3 linked regions of the Arabidopsis thaliana genome follow. The protein of the gene in region 1 interacts with the protein of each later gene in a pairwise test. Each region holds a gene or a part of one and is shown in the gene's direction. Other genes may lie near its edges.

Region 1 (8,236 bases):
ATACGGAGAAACTAGACTGTAATCAATCATCACGTAAAGATTTCTGTTAATATCGGAATATCATCTGGATTTAGCATAATATCTTCCGATTATAGAAAAAAATGTACGTAGTATAATACCTAACCGATATACAAATGAATATCGAACGTAACTATGCTATAACTAGTATATATATGATCGTTTTTGAATCAAACATAAAAGAGAATCTCGCTCATGAAAAGATTACTACACCCACAAAACAATCGAAAAGTAAGCCAAGAATGACGCAGCAGAGTTAACATATGCGTGTGATTCACGCGTGCGTCCGGCAAGAAAGACATTTCGAGAGAAGTGAATCAAACATTAGTGTAAGTGTGAAAGAAGAATATATAAAAAAGAAAGATGGAATAATTTTCTTTGGCAAGTTGGTGTTGGCGGAATCACCATGTACGATGCATATTGTTGATACATATATATACATGTTTATCACCGAAAGGTCCAATCTTTTTCATTTATCCTCACTTTGCGCAATGACTCAATCAAAGGAGATATGTTGAGAGAATCCGTTAGATTATAAATTGACAAGCCTCTTTTCTTTTTCTAGGGGTATTAATCATGCTATATTTCTTGTCACATTGATTTGAATATCAGCAGTTTAAGAAAATCGCTTAGCCAAAAGTTATTAAGAAATCGTCTGATTTCTATCATTGTTGTAATCAATTTGATAAGCTAGCTTCAACTTTCATATCTATGTTAGTGTTTCAAAATTACTATCATATGCATTCCGTTCATACTTATTTCATCAATTAGTCCATGCATGCATGTGCTTATTATTTAGATTAATTATATTTATGTCACTGGCAATGCGTATACTATTATTAACCCACAAAAAGGTGAAACTGATTACAATTTTTCGAATCGTATTCGTAAATTACTAATCAACATGTTATGACGATCAAAACAACTGCAGCGTTACCGTAGAAATAAAAATAAATTGAATAACTTAGAAGTGAGAGTAATGTTTGCAACTTGTGCAGTCAAACAGAATATAAATAAGAAGAAAAATTCTCAAATAGGCATCTGATATTTTATCTTTCCTTTTTGATATTTTCTTAGAAATAAACTACATTTTAAATGGTCTTTTCTTTCTAATTAGCAAGAAAAAAACACACTCGAAAGACTCACTCCCTTCCTATAAATAGGCGAGCAAATGTCAAGCTTTTTACATACTCAAAACAAAACAAAACATACATCAAAACGCTAAAGTTTAAACCCCTAGCCATCATCAGATCTTCAGACTTCTGAGGATCATGGACAAAGTGATGAGAATGTCTTCAGAGAAAGGAGTGGTGATCTTCACGAAGAGCTCATGTTGTCTCTGCTACGCCGTTCAAATCCTGTTCCGTGACCTTAGGGTTCAACCAACCATCCACGAGATCGACAACGACCCGGACTGCCGTGAGATCGAGAAGGCTCTTCTCCGGCTCGGCTGTTCCACGGCGGTTCCAGCTGTCTTTGTCGGAGGCAAGCTTGTTGGCTCCACCAATGAAGTCATGTCCCTTCACCTTAGTGGCTCTCTTGTCCCATTGATCAAACCCTATCAGTCCATCCTTTACTAGCAAAATTAAACCAACTCAATATATAATATCTAATTATTAGCTAGTGAGAATAAACACAGTTACAGCTAGAGTGTGAGCTAGCTAGATATTCAGTGAGGACTTCGTCTGAATTAATGTTTATCGTTTGTATGTTCTATTGTTTAGCTTCTCTCGTGTTTCAGTTTAGTTAATCAACTGGTGTATGTTGATGTATGACTCTCTGTTTATGCTAATGAAAATAGTATTGAAACTTTTACATTTTTTCCCACACAATTAGTAACGATCTCTTGTGTATGTTGAGTAATTTAGGGCTTTCCATATAATAAGGCAAGAAACCGTTTATACTTGTCTGTTTTTAACATGGTATCAGAAGGAGGCTACACACAAACCATTTTCTTATTTAGAAATATTCACATACACTGACAGTAGCTAGAATAAAAATGTGAATGGCCAACACATGCATGAACTCGTCTTCTAATTATCAAGATGTAATGTATAAGTTGGCTTCATCATTATTAGTTAGACCTATTGATAGTTAACATTATATCGGGCGATATACAGATTTAGCCTTTGTGATGTTGTGTTTAGAGCGTACTTTTGAATCAAGGATAAATCAGTGCCCATTAGAGTATATATAAATCGAATGTGAAAAATATTAGATCAGAATAGACTTAATTAGTCTCCACCATACAAATTTGGTAAGAAGAAAAACAATGATAAGATACCAGTGGCCTAATGCAACTAAAGCAGTTTGAGGAAGAGGATGGAAGATCTTTCGCGGTCCAAGTATATCATGGCTACACAAAATCACTGCTCTTTTTGCGTTCCTTTATTCTTGAGTATCTTCACGTTTAATTTACTATTATTTTCTAATGAAAAATTGTACACCTTTTTATATATATGAACTCTTTGTTTTTTCGTTAGTTGCTCGTGTAGTAAATTAAACATATATGCTCATAATCAATAAAAACATACAATGTTAGAAGAAAAAAATACAATTTTTTTTACTAACGAATCATATGAATAGTTGTTTTATATACGGTACATTAACGATCCTCTCATCAGCTTTATAGATAACGAAGCATATTATTCTCCTTAGTTCCGCTTTTTATCACTTGAGATTAAACTCTACTCACAGGTTTAAGCACGTAAATTAGTTACTAAATAATGGATTTGACATTTACGCTTTGCATGCTTATATATGTTACCCATAATTATTTCCCTTTAGTTACTTAAAGTTACCAAAATCAACTACTTCAAGATTCTCCAATCAAAAGAAGCGTGTAAAAGCCTCTATAGTTATATAGTAGTATATAGACCTTGAAGATTTCTTTTTGAAGAAAATATGATTATACTGAGTTCAAAAGGTCGAAAAGAAATAATAAAGGTAGAATCCCTTTACATGATGTGTGGAACAACTTTTCTTGACCTCCAACTTCTTGGGATCGTGGGAAATATATAGGAGAATCTAATCGGAAGTTGTACAGAACGTGTAAGAACTAAGAACCATATTCACTTTGTTGTCATTGTTATAAGATTCAAGATTCTTTGACCGGCGCGTGAAAAAAGCATCCACCTATAGGCTCAAGATTCGTGTCCAAGAAAATATCGAGAACCGATGATTACTTGGAAAGTGGACCATTTTTTAAAAAATCAAAAATTAAAAAAGGAACGTAGCTCATGCGAATAGTTTAGTCCACCAAAGTGAAATGGTAGAACATTTGGTTTCAGTTTAGTTGTGTGTATTTTTATTAAAGGCTTCAGAATCAATTTCGATTTTTGAAAAATGAGTTTTTATAGCCATGTTAGTATGTTACGAGGATGGAAAAGCAACCTAGCTAGATTATCTTGTGATATGTGTTATTGTTCAAGAGAAGTAGGGGCAGTAGTTGTCGAGATCATGTTATTAGTGTCGCTGGAATGTTAGATATTGCCCATCCTGTCTCTTTTTCCCCATCGTGCCCTAAAAGTCAAACTATGCATGGTATTAGCTAATCTTGAATAGGTTTAATTCAGTACGGAAACTCTAATTGAAAACTACCTTCATGGAGTAATAGTTATCGAGGAACGATGATGAGGTATTAGTGGAGATAAGCAGATTTGGACTCAATATCAAAAATTAATGGTGGGATCCATTTCCGTTTCACCTAATATACATAGTGGCAAACAAAAAACAAATATAAGAAGAAAAGATTCAGTATCGAGCATTCTAGCTATGTCGGTAACGTGACAAAGTCCTTTTTTTCGTTTGTCTGTTTCTTTAAAGTTAATCAAATCGGCCAACGCTGCCTCAACAACGAGCTTCCTTTTTCTAACGTCCCTAATTTGCCACGTCCATTTTCTGGACTAGTCCCGGTTTAAAAAATCTTCAGAGATGTATTCGTGGTCAACTTCATTAACTCTTTCTCTTGAGCCCTTCATTAGTTATGATCTTATTTACTTTTTAAAAATCTAACCAAGTACTGTATATTATATATGTGGTAGCCAAAATATTATGTTAAATTCTAGGCTAATCCGATATATCAAGAAAAATCAATATATAAAAATGGAGAGCTATTTTTCACGAGTTAAGTGAGAGAGATGAGTAAAGAAAGGCACGGGAAGGTGAAGAGAGTGTAGGTTTCCAGCTTCTTCCCCAAGAAATAAAATGTATTTGACTTTGTCTAAGCAAATATGTCGTCACTTTAACGTCATTCATTACCTAGAATGCAATTAAGATATGGCTTTTACATAAGCCACCAAATTTGGTTTTGTTGCCCCAAAATATCCCAAGAAAAGATCAACTTCTTCTTCTTACCAAAACTGTCGGCGTCGTCTCCTCTAAGCTCCTCCCATGGAAGCAGAAGAAGGTCATCAGCGTGACCGCCTCTGCGACTATTGCGACTCCTCCGTGGCTCTTGTCTACTGCAAAGCTGACTCCGCCAAGCTCTGCCTCGCCTGCGACAAGCAAGTCCACGTCGCCAACCAACTCTTCGCCAAACACTTCAGGTCACTTCTCTGCGACTCCTGCAACGAATCTCCCTCTTCCCTTTTCTGCGAGACTGAAAGGTCTGTTCTTTGCCAGAACTGCGACTGGCAACACCACACCGCCTCTTCCTCCCTTCATAGCCGCAGACCCTTTGAAGGATTTACCGGCTGTCCCTCCGTGCCTGAGTTGCTGGCCATCGTTGGCCTCGATGACCTCACTCTCGATTCCGGATTGCTTTGGGAGTCACCTGAGATCGTTAGCCTCAACGACCTTATTGTTTCGGGCGGGTCGGGTACTCATAACTTCCGGGCCACGGATGTTCCTCCTCTGCCTAAGGTATAACTTGCTCTGTTTTTTTTCTCGAGCCAATTGCTCGGTTTTTATATTTCTCTGAAATGTTTTGAAATGCTCCAGAATCGTCACGCCACCTGCGGGAAATACAAAGATGAGATGATCCGACAGCTCCGTGGACTATCCAGATCTGAGCCTGGTTGTCTGAAATTTGAAACCCCAGATGCTGAGATCGATGCCGGGTTCCAATTCCTAGCGCCGGATTTGTTTTCTACATGCGAGCTGGTAATAGAGACTGCTATTGGTTGTGTTTTCTTGTGCTTGTCAAATGATTTTCCAGCTTATAAATCTCTCTTGTCAATATGAAGGAGAGTGGACTGAAATGGTTCGATCAGCAAGATCATGAGGACTTTCCATATTGCTCTCTGCTAAAGAACTTGTCGGAGTCAGATGAGAAACCTGAGAATGTAGACCGAGAGTCATCGGTGATGGTTCCCGTTTCCGGCTGCTTAAACCGATGTGAGGAAGAGACTGTGATGGTTCCGGTTATCACTAGTACAAGGTCGATGACACATGAGATCAACAGTCTTGAGAGGAACTCTGCTCTCTCTCGCTACAAAGAAAAGAAGAAGTCTCGAAGGTAAACAAGCTAATTTAAAAAGTGAGACACCACCAATAGGATTGGGATTTGAATCATGTGTTGATGAAACAGGTACGAGAAACACATCAGGTATGAATCACGCAAGGTTCGTGCAGAAAGCAGGACAAGAATCAGGGGACGTTTCGCCAAGGCAGCAGATCCATGAATGATGATGAGGTTACTTTGATAATCAAAAATCTTTTGTATTAATCGAATCATATAGTGTGTATGATCAGATAAGTTTTTGTATTCTAAGCTTAGGAGTTATCACTGTATATCGACCACACTCTCAAAATTGTCACTTAAGAATAGTTTTTTTTTTGTTTTGCCTCCGATTCCTAATTTGCCAAAGGGCAAGCATGGACGAGCACAGAACAAAACATGGTTCACAGTTATATACAATCTCAAGACAAGCAAGCAGCAAAAGAACTTGTTGTAATGTTAGAAAGTGAGATTGGACCCATTAAAGATCCATGGAGCAAGAAGGGCTTGATGTAATTGATATTATGGGCTCAAGTTGTAACATAGTAAACCCAATATAGGTTGGCATGTTTGGGCCATTTTCTTTTAAAGCCCAAATATAAAAGCGTCTCTTCCCGATGGCCGGCGAAACAGAAATTCCGCTGCCGTCGCAGCTTTCACTCTTGTTTTTTTATTCAGATGAAATTGGATGGCCGATGAAGACAAACATCCAAAGGCATGGGCTCGCGGCAACAACTATTTGCAATCTACCAATATATAATAATCTGAGGCAGTATAAAAATACAAAAAAAAATGACAACACTTTTTGGCAGATCATTCCTGCTACGATGAATCTGTCCCAATGATAATCTGAGAAGTAAAGTAAGTTTTGGTTGAACAAGGAATCTGGAGTGGGTTTTACTTGTTGAGCAATCAGTAAGCACTAAATCATGTATCAGAGTTGTGGTTATATTCTCTATGTTCTTCTTAGAATTCAAATATGAATCTGACTTGGAGTTCTTTATTTTAATGATGGTTAATTTTACTGTTAATATTTTTGGATTTGAACATTTGGTGAAGAGTGGTTGCAGCTTGAAGCAATTTTGCATCTCTCACTCTTCGTTTACTGTTTGTTGACGTTGAAGATTAGGCCCCAACAAACTTGTATATAAGAGCCCTTCTCTGTTTATTCTCCTGTCTTAAGAGCGCTAAATCCCTTGGAGACATCTTCACCACACTGTTCAGAGATCTGTCATGGGCCCCGGAGGACCAGGAGGACCCGGAGGACCAGGGTTCTTGCCACCGGGAGGACCAGGCTTCTTCCCACCCATTGGTGGTTTCTTTTCTGGGTTCTCCGACATGATATGTTCCTGGTAAAGACATTCTCTGTTTTGCTATGTGTTTTGTAAAGAGTTAAGTGGTTAGTCTGACTGTGGAATCTTGCAGTCTATCTTGTCTGTGCTGCTGCTGGCTGCTACGAGATTGCTTTGGCGGCCCACCGCCACAAGGACCGCCACTTCTGCCACCCTATTATTGACCACATCTGACTCCATTGGTCACTCGAATAATATTAAAGCTATCTCTGTATAGGATATTGCAGATGTTTGTCAAATTCAATCTTAAATATAATAATTCAAATGTCTCAATTTCTGCTCTGTGTGGATATATATTACCCAAAAAACGATCAAATTAATTATCAGAGAAATGAAATCATAGTCTGGAACTACAATCACTAGCAACACAATGCAACAACAACAACAACAAACACAATCTACTGTCTTCGATTCTTGACTCTTCTCTTGTATGGACTTGCCAAGACTTTTGAAACTATGTACACACACTTCTAAGACGAGGCCAAACCAGTCTTCTCTTTCAACATGATACAACTAAATAAACACGGAGTCACAGGGTTTGATGGAATTAATCATTCACATGCTATCTTGGTGTCGAAACTGCTGAGGCAAATGGTGAAGGCCTGGAAGGCAGAGATAGGGTACTGATAATCCATTGTGAACACATCTTTTCCGACTTTTCCAAACTGGAGAATCACGTTTTCGTGCTCAGGTCCTGCAGGTCCATTCTCAGGAGCAGCTACCAGCTGAAAGTTTTTGACGGAAGCAACTGTGACTCTCCCATTGAAGTTGAGGCACCAGCACTGGAGCTGTTCGTGCCATCTGGGCGCTTTGTTTTTCAGGACAAGCAGTCCTTCCTTCTGAGCAGCAGATGATGGACCAGAAGGGAGACTCTCTGCACGAATTGATTTCGACCTGAAGAAGGAGAATGAGGGGAAACTATCAAGATTGCTATGGACAAGTTCCGTCTGAGTTGGAGCTGTTCCTCCAGGTTCTACAGCTGATGCAGGGATGGCATCCATGACACACTGCATCCTCCTCGGTCCTCTGGTATGATACGACAATGTTCACAATTAGCAAAAGCCATATTAAGCAACTACCGTTTTATCTCACAATGTATCTGTAAGCAAGGAGATAAATCACCTGGAACCCAAGACGTTAAGCTCATATGAGATATGTGCTACAGGATAGTTGCCAGATGGAATTCTCGGGCTCACTTGTTTCAAACTGAGAAGTCTGCTTGAACGGGTTCTGGTAACCTGAGTTCCAGGATTCGTCGGCTGAGCGTCATAGACAGTGAACTTGGTCCCCAGAAAGTTAGATCTGAAAGAAAGTTAAGATAAGAGAAAGGTTATGGCAAATATATGAAAAAACCATGGGGTCAATCTGTAGCTAAGTACCTAAGCTTTCCGATATAGGTATTGCTTCCTCGAGAGACATCATCGCA
Region 2 (6,037 bases), on another chromosome or scaffold:
TTTTTGTCCTTAAGAACAAGTTCATGTTTTTTTTTTTTTTTTTTTTTTGTGAACCTCCGTCGGTTGATTACGTATTAACAATATCGGATTCCCAATCTTGAAATTAGGTTTTAAATCGACTAAATTATAAGCCATATGCAAGCTTTGAGCTCGGCTTTCGGGCGGACTGGTTTTCACCTGACGTCACAGCCGATTTTTTCTGTCTAAGTTCGGGTTAGATGTTAAGTGCGAGACTGAGCTCGGCTTTATAAATAAAAGTATTCGGCGTGTACTGGGCGCGAGACGTCTCTCGGCTTATGCCCAGTAGGCCTATGTATAATTTAAAGAGGAGATAAGTTGAGAACTAGGCAGTTTTTAGGGAAATAATTTGAGAACTAGGCAGCTTTTAGTGTATAGTTTTGAATTGCAATACATTTCAATAATGGTTTTTTTCCTTGGGGTTTAGTAATCTATCTTGGATTTTAGGGTATAGTTTTTAATTCCATTGCATTTCCTAAATGTTTTTAGTATTCTATCTTGGCTAGTGTACTAGTCTAGTGTACCGAAGTGGTGTACTGTTCTCGTGTTCTCACTTTGTCTCACGAAGCTCGTCAGCTCGTCCGTCTCAAGTAGCTAATCAGCTCGCCCTTCTCAAGAAGCTCATCAGCTCTCCCTTCTTAAGAAACTCGTTAGCTCGCTCCTCTTCGTCAAGCTTCTCAACTCGTTCTCTTCACCAAGTCCCTCAGCTCGTCTTCAAGCTATCCAGCTCGTCTTTAATCTCTCCAACTCGCCTTTAAGCTCTTCAAGCTCCTCAGCTCGTCCTCAAGCTCCTCAGCTCGTCTTCAAGCTCTTCCCATCACAGCGACCATCTCCTCGTCTAGCTATCAGCTCATCCCTCGACTGCGAAACTCATCTACCTCCTCGCCTAGCGGAAGTTCGTCCATTGACTGCATAGTCCACCTATCTCGTCGTCCAGCTCGTCTAGACCTTCAGCAAACAACTCGGTTTGTCCAACTCGTCTCTCTACCACGGTTCATCCAGCTCATCGCACATCTGCCGGCTCGTCACCTACCTGCCGACCTACCTCCAACGATGGCCTAGCTCACTTATTCTAATATGAACTACGTGTGGCTTGATCCCTTTCTAAGGGTACGTAGGCAACCTTTTACAAGGTTCAGCTATAAAACGAATAAACTCTATTCTTCCTCGGACATCAAGATCGTCTTCCGGCCTCAAGCTCGTCTTTCATCTACAATCGGCTCGTTCTTACTCCATTTATGCTCGTTGAAGAAATCATCCTTTGTAATCCGTCCAATTCGCCTAAGTCGCGGGCTCGTCATTAATAGAAAGATTCTTCTTCCTTCCCTAGAGATCCCATTTTCGTACTTGTGTGATTCGTGCATCAACAGTTGGCGCGCCAGGTAGGGGGATAGCTCGAAGATATCTCTCAAAACTACGAACCCGCGACGAACCAAAGTGACAACAAACGGACTACATGGAGCATTCGATACCGACTCGTCAGGCTCTGGAAGCAAAACGACAACGTCGATCCCCGGGAGAGCCAGTCACTCGACCTCTTCATCCGATATCGCATCATGTTCTCCGACCTCTTCATTTCCTTGGGGTTTAGTAATCTATCTTGGATTTTAGGGTATAGTTTTTAATTCCATTGCATTTCCTAAATGTTTTTAGTATTCTATCTTGGCTAGTGTACTAGTCTAGTGTACCGAAGTGGTGTACTGTTCTAGTGTTCTCACTTTGTGTACTATCATAGTGTACGCATTTGGTGTACTAGTCTTGTGTACTAATGGTGTACTGTTCTAGTGTTCTCACTTGGTGTACTATAATAGTGTACCCATTTGGTGTACTATTCTAGTCTACTTCTAGAATGTCAAAGTATCAATCCAAATTATAATACAATATATTTCAATTCAAGTGTTATGAAGCATAATAATAATCTAGGGTTATGACTTTGAATTAGGAATTTATTTATTTACTTGGAATTCTAAATTCTAGTAATCTAAGGCTTTAGGGTATAGTTTTAAACTTCATTCCATATGATATATGGTTTTCCTTGGGTTTAGTCTTCTCTCTTTGTCTTTTAGTGTATAGTTTTGAATTTCACTACATTTCAATAATGTCTTTTAGTGTATAGTTTTAGGGTATAGTTTTTAATTCCATTGCATTTCCTAAATATTTTTAGTATAATAGTAGACTAGTCTAGTGCACCAAAGTGGTGTACTGTTTTTAATTCACTTGGTTACTAATTGGTGTACCCATTTGGTGTACTATTCTAGTATACTATTATATTCTATCTTGGCTAGTGTACTAGTCTAGTGTACTAGTCTAGTGTACTAGTGGTGTACTATTCTAGTGTTCTCACTTGGTGTACTATTATAGTGTACCCATTTGGTGTACTGGGTTTCTCTCAAACGTCTCTCTTCTCGAACTCGTTCACCCTCGATTTGTTGTACACCGACTGTGGCTAGGGTTCGTGAAAAACCAAGAAGAGTAAAGTAACTCAATCTCAGAATAAACACGGGCTCAGAAGTTATTTGGATAAAAAACGTAATGAAACTATCGGGCTCAAATATTTGGGCTCACTTAATACGAATTGGAGTTAACGGGCCTAAAATGAGTTTTAAAACCCAATCCAATTTGTTTCGTCGAACCCAGCCGGAATGTGTGTTTTTAAAACACAAGGCTACTATTGTATTTGACACCTCTTTTGGATTTTTGCTACCTTTTTCTATCTCACATGAATCCTATTAGACAAACCCAATAAAAAGTACCCTCTCAGCATATTTCCAAAAAAACTGTCTAGTTCTCAAATAATTTTCTAAAAACTGCCTACTTTTACAATAAACCCTTGTAAAAACTATGATACTGCAGTTAAATCCTATGGAATGATTAGACATATGATCATGAAAGCGACATATGTGATTGAGTTGTCCACCAAGAAAGAATAACAGTAACTGGCTCAATATGATTTTCTTTTGATTTAAATATTGTTTTAAAAAGTATATCTTCATTACGAAAATTATGTTTTGGTTTTGGTGTCTTAATTTTTAGTTTGGTTTTTCATATAGAGAGGGACATATCTACCAATTCTAACTTGTTGATAGCCGTAACCAAGATTCAAGAATAGTTACCTGCCACCACATCTTCGCGGCGTGTATCTCAAGCGTCATGATCGTTGACGCCGTCTCCACCAGATGTTTGTCGCCGTAAGCTAACCCTAATAAAGCGGCGGAGTAATAAGCGTTTACGGCCTCGCTTGTGCTCTCTTGATTCCGGCCGTCCCAGAACTCCGTTAACCCTCCAGCCCATGAGTGTAGCTTGAAAAGATCAAAATTTCTCAAACGCGGATAACTAGAATTTGAATTATTATCATCTTTTCTCCCAAACGTCATGAAATCCGCCAATAGACTGTACGCTTGAGCTCTGTATCTCTCTCCCCACAAAGGATCAAACTTAGCGAGCACGGCAATAGCGTAGAGAAAGTAACCAATATGGTAATGATGATTATTATATATACCGAACCCGAAATCAGCTTGTTTCCACTTCAGGATCGAAGTGAGGAACTAAGCAGCAATGTAGAAAATGGAAGTTGCAATTCCAATGAAGGAATTAATCCTGAAACCAGCAGTCATTGGATTGAAAACGTTGTCAAGGTACTATATGTTTTGTCACAACTTTGGAGAAGAGACAAATTTCAGATTTTGCCAGTGGATCTTACCTCTCCTCTGTGTATTGTTCTTCAAGGTTAGGAAACCGTACACAGTAACTAAGCAGAGAGAGAAGTGGAGTGAGGAAGAGCATGATAGGTTTCTTGAAGCTATCAAGCTTTATGGTCGTGGGTGGCGTCAAATCCAAGGTATTATTTGACTTGGAGCTTAAATTGAGCTTAGAATCTAGCTGCTATTAGATGTAGTTCTGAAGAACCTAAGTCTTGATTTTGCTGCAGAACACATAGGTACAAAAACCGCTGTACAGATACGAAGCCATGCTCAAAAGTTCTTCTCCAAGGTCTTGTTTGTTCATATGTTCCATAACATCAGTAGTACTGATTTGGTTAGTTTGTAACCTGACAGTTTTTTATCCATTGCAGATGGCTCAGGAAGCTGACAGTAGAAGTGAAGGATCGGTTAAAGCGATTGTGATCCCGCCTCCTCGTCCAAAGAGAAAACCGGCACATCCTTATCCTCGGAAATCGCCTGTTCCATATACTCAGTCTCCTCCACCAAATTTGTCAGCTATGGAGAAAGGAACCAAGTCTCCAACCTCAGTGTTATCATCGTTTGGTTCAGAGGATCAAGTCAATAGATGCTCTTCGCCTAATTCGTGTACCAGTGACATCCAATCCATTGGTGCAACTTCCATTGATTAAAAGAATAACTACACAACATCCAAGCAACCTTTCAAAGATGATTCTGACATTGGTTCAACACCCATTTCAAGCATTACTCTTTTCGGGAAGATTGTCCTTGTCGCGGAAGAATCTCACAAACCATCCTCTTACAATGATGATGATCTTAAACAAATGACGTGTCAGGAGAATCACTACTCAGGGATGCTAGTTGACACTAATTTATCTCTTGGTGTATGGGAAACGTTTTGTACTGGTTCTAATGCATTTGGCTCGGTTACAGAAGCATCTGAGAACTTGGAGAAGAGTGCAGAGCCGATAAGTTCTTCATGGAAACGGTTAAGCTCCTTAGAAAAACAAGGATCTTGTAATCCTGTAAATGCAAGTGGGTTCAGGCCATACAAGAGATGCCTATCAGAAAGAGAAGTAACATCATCATTGACGCTGGTAGCTTCAGATGAAAAGAAAAGCCAAAGAGCACGTATATGCTAGTTTTAGCCATTGTACAGTTTGGAGTCAATTTTGATGATCCGTGAACATTGTTTTAGCCATTTGCTGGGTGACTTGGATCATAGCATTCCACGAACCAAATCCTAAATCCGAGTTGGTAAGTGGTTTTACTTGTCCGCCACATGTAATCCTTGTAATGAAGTTTCTCCTGCTGTCTCACGTTAAGAAGACACTTCTTTTTTTCTTCATATACAAATCAGTTTTAACAGTGTATTTGTTTGGCCAACTATTCCTAGCTCTGTTTCAATCTTAGGTCTGGTTTATGATTATTAGCCTTAAGACCAGTCTTAATGTTAAAAGGTTTTTACATTAAGCAGATTAATATACGAGTGAAACTTCAAACTCTGAGAATTGAAACATTGTGCAAAGGGAACCCCCTAAATTTCTGTGGACACTTGCTTAAAAATTGGAGCCCTCAAGTCTAATTCACTTACTTAAATATTGGAGCCCTCAAAGTCTAATGAAATCTATGATAAATAACAACAATTGAAGTATATGCAATCAACACAAGCCTTGCTTATTCTATATTGAAAAGTGTAATTCTAGCTTCTATCTCCCTGGGTTCAGGTGATGAACTGTATCACTATCACAGAAAAGAAGCAGCAAAAAAATCTCAGCAATGGCGTCTGTTAGATATCTCACTGGTTTATGTATGCCTATCAAAGAACTTCTCTATGAGTACAGAGAAAGTTGCAAATCCAGCGCAACCTATACACGCAGCTTTTGGCCCACCTGAAACAAGACCAATCCATTAAGTCCTCAAGAACACAATGTATCATGTAAGAGAAATCAAACCTCTACGAGATTACAGTTTGGGAATTAGGCCGTTGCATATTGATAATGAATCTCTAAGATTTAAATTCCATGCACAGAAGATAATAGGTCTTACCTCGGGCGGACATTGAACCACCGGTAACACATCCAGCTATAGCGGTGTTTACAGTGTCATGCTTAGCTCTTGCCTTTTTCAGAGAGGTAAACCAAAAAAGTCGATAATAAGGTTTTGAAGTTATGATACATGAGTTAGTAGTGGAATTTCCTTGTTTTTCTTGGTCAATAAACAAGGTATTACCTTTTCGACAATGCATTCTGCAGCAGAGAAAACCAAACCCATAACTGCAAATGTCTTACAGGAATTCCAACTCCTTTGCCCCATTTGTTTTGCCGTGAACACAAACT
Region 3 (7,067 bases), on another chromosome or scaffold:
AGAACTTTCTACAGATCTGTGTCGATCAAACTCCAAAAATTTAATAATGGAATAACTGAAGACTGTTTTACACAAATAATAATCATATCCATTATTACCTTATATTCCTTCTCATATATGGAAGAAACAACTAACTTCCTGACAAAAGAATATAAGTATCTAAGACAATTTAGATCATTTCTAGTTAAACTATTTAAGTGATGCATGATATTTTAGTGGTCATAATAATATAGGTTTAGGATTGATGTAATTTTGTTAGAGACATCTTAACGTTCACGACTTTGAAATTCAGGCTTGAAATTTTGGAAATTAATATAAGATTCTTGTGATCCTTTGGTTTTATATAAGAACAAGATGTAATATTGAATTTTTTTTTCTGGCTTATATAACGTATAGTTGAAGACGCATGACTATGCACATGTGATGGCTCACTGCATTTTACATATGAGAGAGACTGAAAATATTTAAAATTAGACTCGGTTTTGATGATAATTCAAAAGAGGTACATGTGTTAAAACATTGAAGGAGATTGATAGATCGCATGCTGTCTTTTTTGAGAACCTGAAAGAACAAAACCCTTAAGAGCTCAGAGAGCTAGCCTACCAATCTCTCTCTTCCCTCTATTTATCTATCTCTTCGCTCATCGATCTCCGTTTCCATGATCCAACGGCTCTGCTCAGCTCGCTTTTCAAGAACACAGAACAAAAGAAAGCTTAGTCAAATATTATAATATAATCGACGAGAAAGAACAGTGGTCAAACTACCTCTGATTTGCAGTGTTCTCTTTTCTTTTCTTTTTTCAACCTTTAATGATAATGGTAATAGAGCTAATGATAATTAAGACAACGATAATCGTAGAATGGGATTAAATTTTATAGTGCTACTTTACTTTGAAACCCTTTCTTTTTTTTGTTAAAGACATTTAAACCTTTTCAAAAGTAATACAGTACTATTATTGACGTCACGTACTGTTAAATAATTTCCATGTTTTTTCATTACGTTTTAATGCATTAACGGTAACAGATTGCATATACATTCGTGATCATCAATTTCCATGTTTTCTTCTGGTTTTTTGTTTTTGTTTTTTGTTTTATGCGTTAAAATTCCTATAACGTGTTTTGATTAATGGACTGACCCGATTTGGTAAGAAATGAAAAAGTTGGCAAAAACTTTTTTGAGCCTGAAAAGCAAACCCAAGATTGAGAAGTGATGCAACTGCAAAGTCATGTAAAAAATGAAGAGTACAATTCATTTGTGTACAGTTTTTTTTTTCCCCATCTAGATACTTACCGTTAAAGTAACCAATAGTAATATTTCATTTTTATCCCGACACCAATAGTAATATTATTTACTAATTTTATTATTACTCAAAAGAAAACAAATGACTTTTTTGGCATGTGATAGTACAGTAAAGGGAAACTCAAATTTCAACAATCACTTTTCTTCATTTGATTTTATCCCGTCTGTGTAGATTTTTTTGGCCCTTAATATACATGAGACATATGAGATTTATCCTCGTTTATCAAAAAAAGAAGAGATTTATCCTCACATCCATACAATTTTCATTATTGTGCTCTTTTGTGCACACTAATATACAATGTTTTGCTTGTTTTGGATTGTTGTAGTTTAAACAAGGTGTAACTAATGGAAAACACATATGTTTTGGTCACAAACCAATTGTTATCTTTGTTGTCTATGAAGTTTCTATCGTCTATATATATGGTCTCTTTCAGTTCGATCGAGGGAGTAGATAATCTATAAAGCGTAAATCATTTCTCTCAGTGCATAACATCTTATTCGACTTTGTACACTGTGATATTGAAAAAACGTTTCTAACAATAGTGATATCATAAGATGCATTGACCAAATCCTATAGTATGTGTTAGAAAATTGGGAGTTATATATAGATCATAATCTGATCCCATATAAAAAGCTACTAAATATAGCAGAAAATTAATATCAATTATTATTTTTTCCTTAGATCATTTAGTTAGCTTAAGAATTGTTACAAATTGATGGGCCAATTTTAAATTTTGAAAAATAAAGATGGATTGTCTCTTTGTGTGTGGGGGTCCTCAATGATCTGTATAATCTGATGAGAAGGAATTGAATAAGTTTGGCAATACTAAGGTGGGATGTTTTCTTCCTTTACCATTCTAAACCTATCTCTTCTCTCTATTCATCTCCTCTCTCTAGATCTCTGATCTCTTCTCCCTCTGCCTCGCTTCCTATCTCTCAATCATGGATCATTTCGTTCTCTATCCTCTGGGAGGATTATTGATGGATCACATGCAGTTGAAAGGATCACGAGTTACATATAGCATATATACTACGTTTTCAAGAGATCTTGAATTTGTTATGCCAATTGAGTAAACTTTGATTATCAGGAAATAAACCAACGAATCAGTGTTGGACTTATTTGAACTTTTAACAATCCATGTTATATGATTGATGGCTTATCACAACAAAGTCTATAATTTTAGGTACTAACTAACACTACTCGTAGGGGAATTTTAAGAAGATCCACTGACTTATCTGAAAGATAAACACTAACTATTTGTCATTTCTATTTATTTATTTATTTTTGACGTTTTTTCACGTAATGCTAATTGACTCTTTTTTGTTTCTCATTTTTTTTTTTTAATTTTTTATTTGTCAATAGACATATTTACAGACGCTAGTTAGATATTCATTTTAAATAAGAGAAGTTTGTTTTTTTTTGGTTGAGAAAATAAGAGAATGTAATATACTTTCTAAAATTTATCAATCAATATTTATTCTAAATTTGTTTTGACTGATACGATTTAATAAAATCTAGTAAAAATTCATAGAGCTGAAAATCTAACCTTTTTAGTGATTCTTCATGAATACAGTAGATTTTTAGTTTAACGGTATATATACATATGAAAAGAACATGAGAAATCCAAATTTTGACTTTTTTTTTTTTCTTTTTCTATAATAGAGCCTTGATGAGATCTAGGAAACCCTAGATTTGAAAAGACAACAAGTAAAAGGATCTTATTTGTTTCAATTATTATCATGATTTGTGTGGCTCTCACTCTCCAATATTTATATAAATTAGGGTTTTATTTTTAATTTTCTGTGTCTCTCTAGTGGGGTAAGGAAATTACAGATAGGGTTTGTTTTGAATGGGGCCGTCCAGTACCATTCCACATACACACAGTTTGTCTCATGTGTTTGGTTTGTATGGGTGCCATGGACTCACGTGAACCTCTAAATTAATTAATTATATATATACATATACATATATTTTCAACTTTCTTAATGTAAATATTGACCATTTACTATTACTGATCATTTCAGTTATTTATTTGTATCCATTTTCTTAAATCAATCCAAGAAAAAAACAACAAGCTTTCTTTACTAGCTCATCAAGGATTACTGGATCGCATGTCCGTTATAGCATATGCAAATAAAATTATGGATTCGAATCTCATAATACTTTATGGTCATTTGAGAAAACTAGAAGTTTAGAGCTTTTTTTTCTAAATTAGAAAAAAACATATAAAAAGGACATTAAAAAAATTAAAATCATTGGTATGACATCCGGACTTGTCCGAAAGTAGGATTTTAAAACAGTATTTTATCCATGTCTTCTAAAATTCACTGTACAAGTTGATGTATACAGAGACATAAGTACCCTAACTCTAGACTCACGTAAACCATTTATTAAACTGATATATTTTATATATGAATATAATAGAGACCATGTGTGTTTGGCTCGTGTCTCATCTCATTGCCTTTAAAAAGGATCAAACATAGTATAGCTTGGACTCTTTTTGCCGTCTATGATCTCTCTCAATCTCTCATCTTAGCTTTCTTTCTCTCTCTCTTTGTGTCTTCATTTGTTTATCTCATCAATGGATTCAAATTTTCATTACTCGATAGATCTTAACGAAGATCAAAACCATCACGAACAACCCTTTTTCTATCCTCTTGGATCCTCTTCCTCGCTTCATCATCATCATCATCATCATCATCATCAAGTCCCTTCTAATTCTTCATCTTCTTCTTCGTCCATTTCATCGCTCTCCTCTTACCTCCCTTTCTTGATCAACTCTCAAGAAGATCAACATGTTGCCTACAACAACACTTATCACGCTGATCATCTCCATCTTTCTCAACCCCTCAAGGTAAATTTACAATTACATATCAACCTTAAGTGTGTGTGTATAAATGTTATTCTTGTACGATCGTTCTTTTTAGTTTAGCAGTTAAAATCATGCCTGATCATGTAAAATTCATACAATAATATTAGTTTCTGAATTTGTATGTCGAGAATTCTATATAGACGAAATTTAATTTATCAAATAAAAAGGAGGGATCTTAAGAAGCCATATCATTATATTATTATGTACAATTCCATCTGTTGTTGATTATAAACCTTGATCGGTGATATATATATACCAGGCCAAGATGTTTGTGGCTAACGGTGGATCATCAGCATGCGATCACATGGTGCCAAAGAAGGAGACAAGACTGAAACTAACGATAAGGAAAAAAGATCACGAAGACCAACCCCATCCTCTTCATCAAAACCCGACAAAACCCGATTCAGACTCCGACAAGTGGTTGATGTCCCCAAAGATGCGGTTGATCAAGAAAACAATCACCAACAATAAACAGCTCATTGATCAGACTAATAATAATAATCATAAAGAAAGTGATCACTACCCTTTGAATCATAAGACTAATTTCGACGAGGATCACCATGAAGATCTTAATTTCAAGAACGTCTTGACCAGGAAGACCACGGCCGCGACCACCGAGAATCGCTACAATACAATCAACGAGAACGGTTATAGTAATAACAATGGCGTGATTAGGGTTTGTTCGGATTGTAACACCACCAAGACTCCTCTTTGGCGAAGTGGACCTCGAGGTCCCAAGGTAGATTAATCACACTTACTTCAATCGAAATTGTCTTGATATATGTCATACTATCTATATCTACCTAGTTTAGTTCACATTTTTAAAATTAATAGTTATATTTCAAGAATGTAGATATTTAATTTATTTAAACCTGATACATCCTTTAAACATTAATACTTTAATCAATGATACTCATAAGTCCAACATTCTATGATTTTTTTTTTGTCATCTACAGTTCGCATACTAATTTTCATTTATCATTGCAGTCTCTTTGTAACGCATGTGGTATACGGCAAAGAAAGGCAAGGCGAGCCGCTATGGCCGCGGCCGCTGCAGCCGGCGACCAAGAGGTGGCGGTAGCGCCCCGAGTGCAACAATTACCGCTGAAAAAGAAGTTGCAAAATAAAAAAAAGAGATCAAACGGAGGGGAAAAATACAATCACTCTCCTCCAATGGTGGCCAAGGCCAAAAAGTGCAAGATCAAAGAGGAAGAGGAGAAGGAAATGGAAGCGGAAACGGTTGCCGGAGATTCAGAGATCAGCAAATCTACAACTTCTTCTAATTCTTCGATTTCGTCAAACAAATTTTGCTTCGATGATTTGACAATAATGTTGAGCAAAAGCTCAGCTTATCAACAAGTGTTCCCACAAGATGAGAAGGAGGCTGCTGTTTTGCTCATGGCTCTGTCGTATGGAATGGTTCACGGTTGATCAGATCATCACAATATCCTCATTACAAAAAGGTTTATTTTAATAGTAATATATAGATTATAGTAATCATAATAATGATTGATTGTTAAATCTTGGAGTGATTAGTTTAGTTTTTGCAGTTGGTCTAATATCAGGAGTCAAAACATTTTATAATAAGAGTGTGTGAGAGTTTAATATGATAATTAATAGCTCTATATATGTTTATGGAGATTTTGGTTTTGAGTTTGTTGTGTTTTTGTTTTCCGATGGAACGAACATTAGTCACCCGATAATGTGGGTAATTCTTGTTCATTTACAAGTTTTATAGTACTGTATTGTGTAACGAGGTTGGAGAAATAATATAATCAATTAAGGGTACTTTTATTTATGTGTTTATCTTTATACAATATACATATCATCACAATTTAGCTCAATCATAAATGGATTACCAGCTTTAAAATTGTACGTCTAGTATTTGGTATCATTCAAAATTTAAATATATTTTTGAAGCTCATAATAGTAGTGTAATTTTTCTTAGAAATGCTTTAAATTGACTATTTTGGATTTAATTGCTTGTGAGAATATACTGAACACAAAATATAAAGATGAGGGTAAAGATGGTTGATATGGGATAATATGAATGCGTATATAAGACAAGAGATCATGTGTGAAGAAGATAATACGTTTGTGTTGCATTTTAAGACGACGACATATTTGCAAGCCCACATATTTTCTTCTAGTTTTTTCATTAGATTATCTAACTAATATAAGCCCTTTATCCAAAAAAAATGATCTAATTAATTTTATTTCAAACTTAAAAAAAACACATATAGGTTGACCTAAGTCTGAATCAACACATCAAAAAATACTTTTTTCTTTCGCTGCTACATTATTACTTAGGGTCATGAGTAGCTAGTACAGCACACCAATCATAAATATATCAAAAATGTAAAATGTGAAATATAATTATTTTTTCACTATACACTATTTTAATATTAAGATCCTTATGAATGTATCATTGGTTTATAATGATCAATATTAATTACTAATCTACATACTTTAGCTTCAAAATATCACTGTCCAAAAAAAACAATCACTATGTAAACTACTTTTACTTTAAAACATCAGTTTGGTCTAGTCTATGACTAATCTATTTTTGTTACAGCAAATTAAATCAACTATATACACATAGTACGCACACACACACTGATGTTAAATAAGCATTTTACAAACCATAATTTATACATGAACATTGATCCAATAGATGCAAGCATAGCTACAAAGCATGCACTTAGAGAATGTTAACTAATATTAATATTGAATCATACTTATAATATAAATAAAAAATAACAAAATTAACAAAAAACGACAATTAACAAAAACCTAATCTGATAACTAATGATGTATCATGGGATGAGGCAAAAAGCAAATAATTGGCATTTAGAGTAACTAATTAAATTCATCAAGAGAAACAGTAATGGGGTC

What was found. The genes of interacting proteins can lie anywhere in the genome.
Region 2: the proteins of AT2G47890 (region 1) and AT3G10113 interact in a two-hybrid assay, tested with the Arabidopsis thaliana proteins (one large-scale study listed by BioGRID).
Region 3: the proteins of AT2G47890 (region 1) and GNC interact in a two-hybrid assay, tested with the Arabidopsis thaliana proteins (one large-scale study listed by BioGRID).

Annotation. Positions count from the first base shown.
Region 1 is NC_003071.7:19,603,835-19,612,070, forward strand, and holds AT2G47890 (B-box type zinc finger protein with CCT domain-containing protein), read left to right. Parts: upstream 1-4,161; 5' UTR 4,162-4,410; coding exon 4,411-4,881; intron 4,882-4,959; coding exon 4,960-5,121; coding exon of another isoform or gene 5,122-5,202; exon of another isoform or gene 5,203-5,204; coding exon 5,205-5,476; coding exon of another isoform or gene 5,477-5,480; exon of another isoform or gene 5,481-5,548; coding exon 5,549-5,642; 3' UTR 5,643-6,453; downstream 6,454-8,236. Other genes in the region: AT2G47880 (Glutaredoxin family protein), read left to right, coding at 1,290-1,598; AT2G47885 (uncharacterized protein), read right to left, coding at 1,397-1,534; TLP3 (tubby like protein 3), read right to left, coding at 7,362-7,836, 7,933-8,112, 8,190-8,236.
Region 2 is NC_003074.8:3,116,846-3,122,882, reverse strand, and holds AT3G10113 (Homeodomain-like superfamily protein), read left to right. Parts: upstream 1-3,491; coding exon 3,492-3,653; intron 3,654-3,744; coding exon 3,745-3,856; intron 3,857-3,946; coding exon 3,947-4,008; intron 4,009-4,090; coding exon 4,091-4,297; intron 4,298-4,372; coding exon 4,373-4,840; 3' UTR 4,841-4,987; downstream 4,988-6,037. Other genes in the region: MEE67 (Mitochondrial import inner membrane translocase subunit Tim17/Tim22/Tim23 family protein), read right to left, coding at 5,505-5,590, 5,748-5,820, 5,931-6,037. UniProt on the Arabidopsis thaliana protein: Probable transcription factor.
Region 3 is NC_003076.8:22,988,166-22,995,232, reverse strand, and holds GNC (GATA type zinc finger transcription factor family protein), read left to right. Parts: upstream 1-3,702; 5' UTR 3,703-3,881; coding exon 3,882-4,154; intron 4,155-4,431; coding exon 4,432-4,911; intron 4,912-5,159; coding exon 5,160-5,603; 3' UTR 5,604-6,017; downstream 6,018-7,067. UniProt on the Arabidopsis thaliana protein: Transcriptional regulator that specifically binds 5'-GATA-3' or 5'-GAT-3' motifs within gene promoters. Involved in the modulation of chloroplast development, growth and division in a cytokinin-dependent manner.